Macaca fascicularis: one gene and its partners. The protein of the gene in region 1 purifies or fractionates together with the protein of each later gene. This does not show direct contact. Links are inferred from orthologs where the notes say so. Each region holds a gene or a part of one and is shown in the gene's direction. Other genes may lie near its edges.

Region 1 (3,750 bases):
TTGTATTTTTAGTAGAAAAGGGTTTCTCCATGTTGGTCAGGCTGGTCTCGAACCCCCGACCTCAGGTGATCTGCCTGCCTTGGCCTCCCAAAAGGCTGGGATTACAGGCGTGAGCCACCGCACCCGGTCCGTATACTTTTAATACATGTGGAATTAATAAAAACGTCCGTGCCTCCAATTCCGTGGCTATTTTACTGTCTTCCCTTTTCAGACAAGTCCCTCAAAGGTAGCGCTCTTGGCTCCTTCTTTTGCTTCTCCCCTAACCCTGTCCTCCTGAGGTGCCCTCTGGATTTCCTCCAACCCCGGCAGGGTCTGCCTTTTCGGGCTGATACAACGACCTGCCCTGCATGCCACATCACAGGAGCGTGGGCACCAAAGTGTGGAAAAACTAATGAATGACGTTTTCTGTTTCCTGCCTGCCAGAATCCCCAGCCGCACCGCCCCACCACGAACCACATGGAACCCACGGACTACACCAGGACAGAAAGAGGTCTGTTTTCCCTTTACCTCTCCCATTTCTTCAACTATGCTTCTCTCGGCTAGCATACCCTTTCCTTATCTCACTCCATACACCCACAGCTTTAGCAAATTAATATGCACGCTGCTGGGACGCGCCCAAGCATTTCCCTCCCTTGATAGGGCGGAACTAAAATGCAAGCGCCACAGTTGTCAGCAAAAGACTTCCCTGTTACCATGGTAAAGCCGCTGCGCCATCTTTATTGTGGTTAACGAGTACTTGCATCAACCTAAGAGAAAATAAGAAGGAAGTCTGCAGGCTGAAACCCTTCAAATTAGCCTGGACTCGCCTGCATCTGGCTCGGAACAGAGTTAATCTCAGGGGTGGGGGTTGAGTCCTCCGGTGGACGCAACTCGCGCCTGCGGCTAACAGAAGGTCGTCAGGGGAGGGGCTCTGCGTCCGTTCCACCCAGGCACTTCCGGCTCACGCGCCGTACGGAAGCGTGCTCAGCGCTGGGCTTGTGCTCCGTACGGAAGTGTGCTTTGGCGCACCGGAAGCCGACTCAATAGAGCTATGGCGGGTTTGACTGTGAGAGACCCAGCGGTGGATCGTTCTCTACGTTCTGTGTTCGGTGAGAGGAATTCGTTGGAGCCAAGCTTCGGGGAGGGACTCCCCTCTGCACCTCCTATCTCATGAATCGCTACCGGAGCCGCTGACGGTTCGGACATGCAGTTCTCCCTGCCTATCCTGTAGGGCGTCCAACCTGGTGGACTCGTGAGCAAAGAGATGTTCCCATTCTGCCGAGGTCTCGTAGGCTTTCCGCAATATCACTGGGGAAGTTAGACTAGCGTTCAGCTTCTGTGCGTGTCTCCTTTCATGAGCTTTAATTATTCTCTAGAGGAGAGGGCGCATGGCAACAGCTCCTCACTGTCCCGTACTACTTCTCATCCTCTGCCCCAGAATACAGACTATATGCTGAGGGTATAGATCCTAGTGTCCACTTCCTGTTCTCTCGTAAGGACTTTCATCCTTTGCTTTTTATCCGTAACATTTTAGTTCATCAATAGTAGTAGAGGCCACCTGGTGTCCTGAGATGTCTTGTAAATGAATGAATGAATGAACTGTTAAGACCTCCTCAGAGGAATTTTAAAAAGGATCGAAATGATTCTGAATTATCTTTTTGGCTGAAATAAGTTGTTTTTAAAAATACGTGTGATTATTTTAGAGTGCCATTTGAAAGGGACATGACAAAGTAGTTCAGAATAATTTTTAAACATCCTTCACTACATTCATGGTCATTCTCCCTTAAATGTTGTATGTGTGGAAATACATATGAACCTGTCTTAAAAATTATATTAAAAAACATTGATATTTTTTGTAGTCACTGATGAGACTTGCAGATCTTTAGGTAAATACCAGTGCCGAAGTATTTATTTTCACCAAAGTTAAGGAAAATCTAACACTTGTCAGATCAGTCTGAGAATTAACATTTAAGAGTACCTACACATTTTGTATTTAGTTTCAGTGGTACATTTCCTTTGTTAAGAGGTCTAGAGAAATACAGTGGAATTGGGATTGGAGAACACTATTTTGAGCCTTATATTTGATGATATAAGTAGATACTCTGTCATTTACTTTCTCACTAAAGATCTATGTTATAAACTCGGAATTTTAATGTTACCTGTTTTCTTCCTTAGTGGGGAACATTCCTTATGAAGCTACTGAAGAACAGTTGAAGGACATCTTTTCTGAGGTTGGACCTGTTGTTAGTTTCAGGTGAGATCCCCTTTTACTTCATGGTGGGAGCTTCTTAAAAATTACCACAGATTTGGCTCTTAGTAATGGCAGGTTTTCTTTACTGGTGACTTTTCACATACACTTTATTCTTGTAACAGCTTTATTTAGATATAATTGATATACTATACAATTGACATTTATTCTTACCTAAAATATGTTTTTTTCATTAAAAATGTTTTTTAGGCAGGGCGTAGTGGCTCTTGCCTGTAATCCCAGCACTTTGGGAGGCCGAGGCAGGCGGATCACCTGGGGTCAGGAGTTCGAGACCAGCCTGACCAATATGGTGAAATCCCGTCTCTACTAAAAATACAAAAATTAGCTGCTGTGGTATCGCATGCCTGTGTCCTAGCTACTCAGGAGGCTGAGACAGGAGAATTGCTTCAACCCAAGAGGTGGAGACAGCAGTGAGCCAAGATCGTGCCACTGCACTCCAGCCTGGGCAACAGAGCGAGACTCTATCTCAGGGAAAAAAAAAAGAAAAAGTTTTAAAAAATATTTCTGTGAGGCTGTCAGAGCTGTAAAGTTATTTATGTTACAGTGGGCCCAATTAAAGCATGGCAATGTTAGCAGGAACCCTGTATGTGTGTAACATTTGTTCCTGACACTTGGTTCTGCTCTCCAGATTGGTATATGATAGAGAGACAGGAAAGCCAAAGGGTTATGGCTTCTGTGAATACCAAGACCAAGAGACAGCACTTAGTGCCATGCGGAACCTGAATGGGCGTGAATTCAGTGGGAGAGCACTTCGAGTGGACAATGCTGCCAGTGAAAAGAACAAAGAAGAGCTGAAGAGTGAGTACAAATCCAACTTGGATGCAGTGTGAGTTAGTAAAGATGTAACAATGAAGATTTTCCGTTTCTGCTATGTTTTAGAATATGCTGAAATGGTTAGCCACACAGCTTGTTTATTACTTGACTGATCTGATGTGCCTGAGTTAGGCAAGTATTATATATATCTTTTAAAAAATTTTTTATAAATTTTTTTTCAAGTAATTGTCTGAAATTTCTATACCCTTGCTCTGGATGGAGCAGGGCAAGGCCTCAAACCATTTCAAAACTGTTCTGGCAAGCACTGTAGGAATGCATAGGGTCACTGCAGACCTAAGCATGCTGGAGACTTGCTAGTAAGTGTATATCTTTAAGAAACTGTAAAGTTGACATTAGAAATGCTTCAGTTGCTCCAGCCTGGGCAACAGAGTGAGACTGTCTCCAAAAAAAAAAAAAAAAAAAAAAACGAAATTTTTCCATTGTTAAGGAGTTATTTCCAGTTAAAGATGAATTCAAATTCATCAAGCCATTAGTAGTACTAACTATGGCATTAGTCATTCCTGTCACTGTTTTCAGGAGTTTTTGAAATTAGCATGTTTTTCTCTTTTAACATTTTGTTTCTGAAATGACTTGTCAAAAGAAGTCAGTGTTCCCAGTTCTCTAACTTAGGTTAACATTGTCCTTCCATGTGATCATGATCCCCAGCTTTCCTCTGAGAACAGAAAATA
Region 2 (3,750 bases), on another chromosome or scaffold:
GTCTCGCTCTGTTGCCCAGGCTGGAGTGCAGTGGCATGATCTCGGCTCACTGTATTTTTAGTAAAGACGGGGTTTCACGGTGTTAGCCAGGATGGTCTCAATCTCCTTACCTCATGATCCACCCGCCCCGGCCTCCCAAAGTGCTGCGATTACCGGCGTGAGCCACCACGCCTGGCCTAGAACTCCTGATCCATTCGTCTTGGCCACCCAAAGTGCTGGGATTACAGGCGTGGGTCACCACGCCCGGTCAATCTCATTTAATCTTAATGCCAGATACTGTTCCTAACACCTTTCTACGTATGATTTATTTCTTTTTTTTTTTTTTTTTTTTTTTGAGACGGAGTCTCGCTCTGTCGCCCAGCCCAGGCTGGAGTGCAGTGGCGCGATCTCGGCTCACTGCAAGCTCCGCCTCCCGGGTTCACGCCATTCTCCTGCCTCAGCCTCCCGAGTAGCTGGGACTACAGGCGCCCACAACCGCGCCCGGCTAATTTTTTGTATTTTTAGTAGAGACGAGGTTTCACTGTGGTCTCGATCTCCTGACCTTGTGATCCGCCCGCCTCGGCCTCCCAAAGTGCTGGGATTACAGGCGTGAGCCACCGCGCCCGGCCGTATGATTTATTTCAGTTGCAGGTACTATTATTCCCACCTATAGGCCAGAAAGCTGAGGTACAAAGTTTAATTGCCCAGAGTTACTTATCTTAGTTAAAATCCAAGCAGTCTGGGCTCCAAACAATCATATCCACTTTGCAGTCAAGGAACCATGCTGAGATTTTGAGCTGAAAATCCAGGTCTCACAGACTTCAAAGCTTTCTACATAAGAGTAGACGGCGGCAGTAAAAATTAACGTGGGCTTGATCTATCCCTCCCACCCCCAAGAAAAGTAAAAAGCAGGAACTGAGACCAGAGAAAACCTTCACGGATTCCTTATCCCCTAAATATAGGAGGCATTTAACGCTTAGCATTGCTGACTAGCAATCAGGCTTCAACCGTGAGGAGCCAGGCTCTTAAAGCTTTTTAACTGAATTCCAAAAAGCGCGCGAGCCTCCAGGCGAAACAGATTCCCGCCTTCCAGCCGGTTAGAGCCGGCTCAGCAACAGCCTCTCCAGGCCGGGGTAGTGACGTCAGCCCAGGAATTGGGCCCGCCCCGGGATCTCGCTGCCTTCTGCACGTTCGGAATAACCAACGAGTCGCGAAATTAGCCCCGCCCACTGCCCCGGAAGTTAATGCGAAAGCCACACACCCCCCTCCTCGGCCGGCAGGGGCGCAGCCATTTTAATTCATATCTGAGTGGGCGGTGGCGATTGGTGTTGGCGGTCTGGCTCAGCTGGGCAGGGGGTAACTTTACTGATTTGGGGGTGGTTTTTAGTTTAATTTTTCTTTTCTAGCTTCCCATCGACGGTCAGTGCGCACGTTGTAATCAGCTGAGGCCATGTCAGGAGACGGAGCCACGGAGCAGGTGAGGAAGGAGAGTGGTGGGGCCTCGTGGCGACCTCTTCTCCACGTCTGTTCCTCCGACTGCTCCAGACATGTTCGCCTGAGGAAGGAATTGGGTCTAGTGAACCCGGGGGACAGGGTATATACAAGAGTGGTGGGAATGGGGAGCAAGATCTGATTAAAATTTAGGTTTTTTTTACTTCCCTGTCTTAGGCACTAATACGAGTAAATACTTGATTTAGACAATAGCCGGTAGGCTGCTTCGTCCTATTTAGATTCATGGGACTACTCCAGATGGGATGCTTTCCTTTGATATCGCTTTGGTATTAGAGTGGATAGGAATTATTTTAACGCGCACCCGCCGTTTTAGAAAAACTTGACAGTGTTTCTTTCACCCAGCCAAATGTAGTGTACCCAGAAATAGGTTACTAGTTTGAGAAATATTTGAGACAAAGCTAATCTGGAGAATTAAGATTTAAGAGAGCGAGTGAAGAAAGAAGCAAGTTATGCTGTGGTTTTGGGAATATTGTGGCTTATTTTCGTTTTCTTCCTTTTCTTCCTTTTAGTCACATTTCATTTTCGTTTTTCCAGCTACATAAACATTGCAGGTATATTATAAGTTGAAAATGAGAAGTCTGTTTTGGCCACTGTAAATAAAAGCATGTTTTAGTAGTAAATATGGGTGACAACTAAATATTTAAAAATTCAGACTTTTAGGTTAGATCAGTGTGGTTTGTTTTTTTTTCTCTTTGTATTCAGAATTTTGTAGGAGAGTACCTTTTAGTGTGAGAGAGGAAACAAAATAGTTTTGAAAGATGCCATTAAATTTGTTTTTCGATCTAAGTCCTGGTGTGTTTAGATAAATACAGTTTCTAAAATGGAGGCTAGGTAGCCTGCAGTCTCAATTTCCTGAAATTTCCCATTGCCATAGCAACGACATGCACTTAGATTTTCATTTTTCAGGTTCCCTAGCTTATAACGTGGAAGATGTTATTGAAGGTTGACAGAGATGAGGCAAAATAGGAGTGTTCTATTGCATAGTCTGTAAGACTGTAGATTTCATTTTGTCGGCAGTTTGACTAAATTGTTTTGTGTTTGCTCGAGGACTGGTTTCAGTCCAGAAATCTTCGCACTATTTACATTTTACATACTGTTAGCATGCCCGAGCATGCGAAGTCTTAAAATTACCGTATCAAAACTGTTTACCTCTTTTCTGATCTAGTATTTGTCATCTGAAAGTGAAGGATTAATTAATTGAGGTTTCATTGAAAGTTTCCGAAATTCATCGTTAATCTTAGAATTTATCTAAAATTACAAAGACACAGAAATGTTACCATGACCTCTTGAATGTTTTAGAACTGTGGTGTTTCAATGGGACAGACAGATGGTGGTCAAAATTGTAGAAAAATAATTTCCCCCAAGGGTTTTATTGTGCAAAGTTTAGAACATAGAGAAAAGTTCAAAGAAAAGTGCAGTGAACACCTGTGGGACAACTCTTCACCTGGAATCAACAGTTGAAAGCCTTGCCATACTTGCTTTATCTCCCCATGCTGATTGAGAACAGGGTCTCTGTCACTAAAGCTAGAGTGCTGTGACGCCTTCACAGCTTACTGTAGCTTCGACCTCCCTGCGCTCTGTGATCCTCCCACCTCAGCCTCCTGCCTCAGCCTCCTGAGTAGCTGGGAGTACAGGCGCGCGCCACCATGTCCAGCTAATTTTTTTTTTTTTTTTTGAAACGGAACCTCAAGCTCTGTCGGCCAGATTGGAGTGCAGTGGCGCGATCTCGCCTTACTGCAGCCTCCGCCTCCCGTTTGGAGCGATTCTCCTGCCTCAGCCTCCCGAGTAGCTGGGATCACAGGCGCTCGCCACCATGCCCCGCTGATTTTTGTATTTTAAGTAGAGACGGGTTTCGCCACGTTGCCCAGGCTGGTCTTGAACTTCTGACCTCAAGTGATCCGCCTGCCTCTGCCTTCCAAAGTGCTGGAATTACAGGCGTGAGCCACCGCACCCGGCCTAATTTTTGTAGTTTTTTTTTTTGTAGAGACAGGAATTCACCATGTTTCCCAGCCTGGTCTCGGAACTCCGGGGCTGAAGCGATTCGCCCACCTCAGTGTCTCCAAGTTTTGGGATTAGAGACAGGCACGAGCCACCATGTCTGGTCCATGCATGTTTGTTTGAAAGTATGTTGACACTTTGCAGCCCAAATATTTCAGCATTCTCATATAAATAAGAGCAAAATGTTGTTAAATAATCTTCATACCATTTCCCCACCCAAGAAAATAATAATATTTCTAAAATCTAGTCCTTCTTCAAATT
Region 3 (3,650 bases), on another chromosome or scaffold:
GGATAGGCGAGACTGGGGTAGCCCAGAAACACCAGGCTGGTTACATTTGGCCTAGCCAAACAATTTTCTCAGTGATACACACACCATTTTCCATGTGTATTATAATGTATAGAGTGTTGAGGACTACTGATTTATAATTTTTCAATGAAAAAAGATGGAGAGTTAATGACACTGAATTTCTGAAGAGATAGTCAACAGAATCAAAAGCAGTTGTAATGACCTGAACAAAATTCCTTCATTTTTTACCTGGCCTAGTAGTTGCTTATTTGTAAATTACAGTCTTTCTAATAAAAACACAGAGAGAAAATTATCTGTAATTTTGTAGCATAGTATTGTTATGTTCTATAGGGATTTTACATTCTTGTTTTCTAGCAAATGTCCTGGAAACACTTCGAGGTGATGGAAATGTGTTAATAGCAGTGGACACAGCAGGCAGAGTTTTGGAACTTGCTCAACTTCTTGATCAGATTTGGAGGACTAAAGATGCAGGACTGGGTGTTTACTCATTGGCACTCCTAAATAATGTCAGTTACAATGTGGTAGAGTTTTCTAAATCCCAGGTTTGTTCTCATGTTGTCACTTGTAATAAAGAAGTTTGCTACAGTGATTGGGTCTGTGGAAGTGGGTGTCTTCATTGTTTTTTGGATTTTATTTTTCCCTTGAAGAGATTGTTAGTAATGATGATAACTTGCCATTAACCATTTACTGTTCTGTGTGCTTTAAATGTATTATTTCATTTAATCTGTATTTATTCTACTAAGTAGTTTCCCTTTTATCCCTGTTTTAAAGATTAGGCAAATTGCTTCTCTTCTAACTCTTTAGTATCCCAGTCTGTAAAATGGGGACAAAAATAGAACCTACCTCATAGCATATACATGTTAGAATTCATTGTTCTTTCTTTTAAATAAGCTTTTTGCCTTGAAATAGCAATCTCTGGGAGTAAGATTTTCATTTAGAACATATACCTTGCCTTTTCAAAAAGATTTAAGGTGATTTATACGTGAAATATAATGCAAAATTGGGTTTTTTTGGGATGAAAACTAGGGTGGGATAATCTAATGGGAAATGGAAGCAGAAAATAAGCTGCTTGTCAAAACATTACAAATTTAAGCAACCAGTGGGGGTAAAAGATAGAACTTGGATTCCTTGACTATTAGAGAATATATTGAAGTTATAGGATTTCTAATTCTTGTCATCTTTCCCCCCACATTAGGTGGAATGGATGAGTGATAAATTGATGAGATGTTTTGAAGACAAAAGAAATAATCCATTTCAGTTTCGCCATCTCTCTTTATGTCATGGTCTTTCTGACTTGGCCCGAGTACCTAGCCCTAAAGTTGTACTTGCCAGCCAACCTGACCTGGAATGTGGATTTTCAAGGGATCTCTTTATCCAGTGGTGTCAGGATCCTAAGAACTCAATCATTCTAACTTACAGAACTACTCCTGGGACTTTAGCACGTTTCCTAATTGATAATCCTTCTGAAAAAATTACAGAAATAGAGGTAAGCACTTGTATGTGAACTTTATCTTAAGACTGTTTGGGGGATACATTGTGCGTGATGTATAAAAAATAGTGACCAAAAATAAAACTTGAAGTTGTTTTAGGATTTTGATCAGAATTACTCTTGAGAGCCAGGAGTGGTGGTGTGTGCTGTAGTACCAGCTACTCGGGAGGCTGAGGTGGAAGGATCACTTGAGCCCAGGAATCTGAGGTCAGCCTGGGCAACATGCCAAGACCTACCCCCCATCTCTTAAAAAAAAAATTACTGTAGAAGAGAGCCTTTAATAGCACAAATTTCAGAGTTCCTTAACTGGAGGTTCTCTTTTTTTTTTGAGATGGGGTCTTGCTTTGTTACCCAGTCTAGAGTGCAGTGGTGCTGTCATAGTTCCGTGCAGCCTCAAACTCCTGGGCTTAAAGGATCCTCCTCCCTCAGCCTCCCAAGTAGCTGGAACCATAGACATGTGCCACCAGGCCTGGCTATTATTTTATTTTTATTTTTTGTAGAGACGTCTCATTGTATTGCTGTGGGTGGTCTCAAAAGAAGTTCTCATTCTTAAACTTTTCCTTGGTACCCTCTAGTTTACCCAGAGGGTAAGCCTATACAGTGTTTTCTCAGTCTCTGAAAGGTTCCTTTCCTGTCTCTTGCTTAATTTAAATCAGACTCTTTCCTAAAGACGTTCTTTATCCTGTAGCCCCCAGAAGTAATTACTCTTTCTTTCAGTGTTGCATGTACTTTGAATGGAGTACATGTCTTCCTTGTTCTGTATTGCAGCTTCCTAGCTATTTATCTTCCATTTGCAGTTTTTGCCTTCAGACCTGCTGATATGCTGACCCCTCCTTGTTTCTGACATTTAATGATCTCTTGGTCATTCACCATTTGACCCTGATTCACAGTCTTCCTGTCCACTTGTATTCAGGACTTTATTCTCACTGACTTTAGCTTCCATGTATATGATCTGTCCAATTCTTCTCAGTTACTTGACACCTTATTTCTTAATCTTTTCCTTCATCTTACCTCAGACATCCATTCCTGCTGTCATGCTATCTGTTCCTGTGGTCATGCCTGTAACCTTCTTTTGGCCGAACAGTCTCCAAGCATCTCATTCTGAATTTACAGCTGACTTTCCCTGTTATTCTCATGACAACAACTCTTCAGTTCCATTGGGACTTTCAGTTCATGAACCTCACCTTTATACTGTCTATCATCCTTCCAGCCTTAAACTCAGTGGTTCACAATTAATCAAAATTTTGCAAATATCTTTAACTCTCTTACACTTCTGTTTTAGTCCCTGGAAAGGCTTTGACCTTAGTTAAACTATTTGCTTGGTGCGTGCCTGTACTTAAGCAGCTTTATGTTTCTGAAGTTAAACACTACAGTGTAGACAGATTTGTTTTCACATGCATAACTTCACATCTCAGAAGGGGACCCTACACCAGTACTCAGCATTCAGTAGGATGTTCCCGTTCTCACTGTAAGGCAATTTTATATCTTCTTTCTCCTCAAACATCCTACAGCTCACTCTCAGCCTTCATTCATAGCACATGATCTTGTCTCAAACTTAACATAGAAATCGAAGCAGTGAGTCAGGAATTCCTTTATCTTTCCACCACTAAATATACTAACTTGATTCTGCATCTGCATTTGCTGCCTTATCTCCTGTTACAGGAACAAGACAATTAGCTCAATGACTAGTATACCCAAAGATCGTTTGCTTAATAACCAGTGCATCAGTTCTATCGATTTTTCAAAACTAGTATATCATTAAAGTTTGTAGCATTTGATATAGTGGGATGGTTAATAACTGCCAGAGTTGCAAAAGTTTAGGCGACTAAACCTTAACATAAAGCTGTAACATAAAGCAGTATCATAAAGCTGCTTCTTATTTTGTCTTTGTAGCACTCATGTAATTATTTAATTAGAGATAGACTCTCTCTCTGTCACCCAGCCTGGAGTGCAGTGGCACCATCACAGCTCACTGTAACCTCGAACTCCTAGGCTCAGGCTGTCCCTAAACCTCCCCCTAACCCACTCCACCTTGCAAAGTGCTGGAATTATACATGAACCACCGCACCTGGCCCTTAGCAGTCATTTTAAGGAAAGTTTAGTTTGTTAAAAGCTATGTGGTAGGGATATCTGTCTTCCAACT

Evidence for each region.
Region 2: the proteins of CSTF2 (region 1) and CSTF3 fractionate together in Homo sapiens (co-fractionation; 4 studies listed by BioGRID and IntAct, with this or other methods). This does not show direct contact. The link is inferred for Macaca fascicularis from reciprocal best matches to the Homo sapiens genes CSTF2 and CSTF3.
Region 3: the proteins of CSTF2 (region 1) and CPSF2 purify together in Homo sapiens (affinity purification with western blotting; 3 studies listed by BioGRID and IntAct, with this or other methods). This does not show direct contact. The link is inferred for Macaca fascicularis from reciprocal best matches to the Homo sapiens genes CSTF2 and CPSF2.

Annotation. Positions count from the first base shown.
Region 1 is NC_088395.1:107,483,816-107,487,565, forward strand, and holds the start of CSTF2 (cleavage stimulation factor subunit 2), read left to right. Parts: upstream 1-1,024; 5' UTR 1,025-1,030; coding exon 1,031-1,088; exon of another isoform or gene 1,089-1,243; coding exon of another isoform or gene 1,244-1,262; intron 1,263-2,154; coding exon 2,155-2,233; intron 2,234-2,876; coding exon 2,877-3,046; intron 3,047-3,245; exon of another isoform or gene 3,246-3,378; intron 3,379-3,750. UniProt on the Homo sapiens protein: One of the multiple factors required for polyadenylation and 3'-end cleavage of mammalian pre-mRNAs. This subunit is directly involved in the binding to pre-mRNAs.
Region 2 is NC_088388.1:32,419,440-32,423,189, forward strand, and holds the start of CSTF3 (cleavage stimulation factor subunit 3), read left to right. Parts: upstream 1-1,274; 5' UTR 1,275-1,429; coding exon 1,430-1,456; intron 1,457-3,750. UniProt on the Homo sapiens protein: One of the multiple factors required for polyadenylation and 3'-end cleavage of mammalian pre-mRNAs.
Region 3 is NC_088381.1:160,139,935-160,143,584, forward strand, and holds part of CPSF2 (cleavage and polyadenylation specificity factor subunit 2), read left to right. Parts: intron 1-372; coding exon 373-560; intron 561-1,213; coding exon 1,214-1,504; intron 1,505-3,650. UniProt on the Homo sapiens protein: Component of the cleavage and polyadenylation specificity factor (CPSF) complex that play a key role in pre-mRNA 3'-end formation, recognizing the AAUAAA signal sequence and interacting with poly(A) polymerase and other factors to bring about cleavage and poly(A) addition.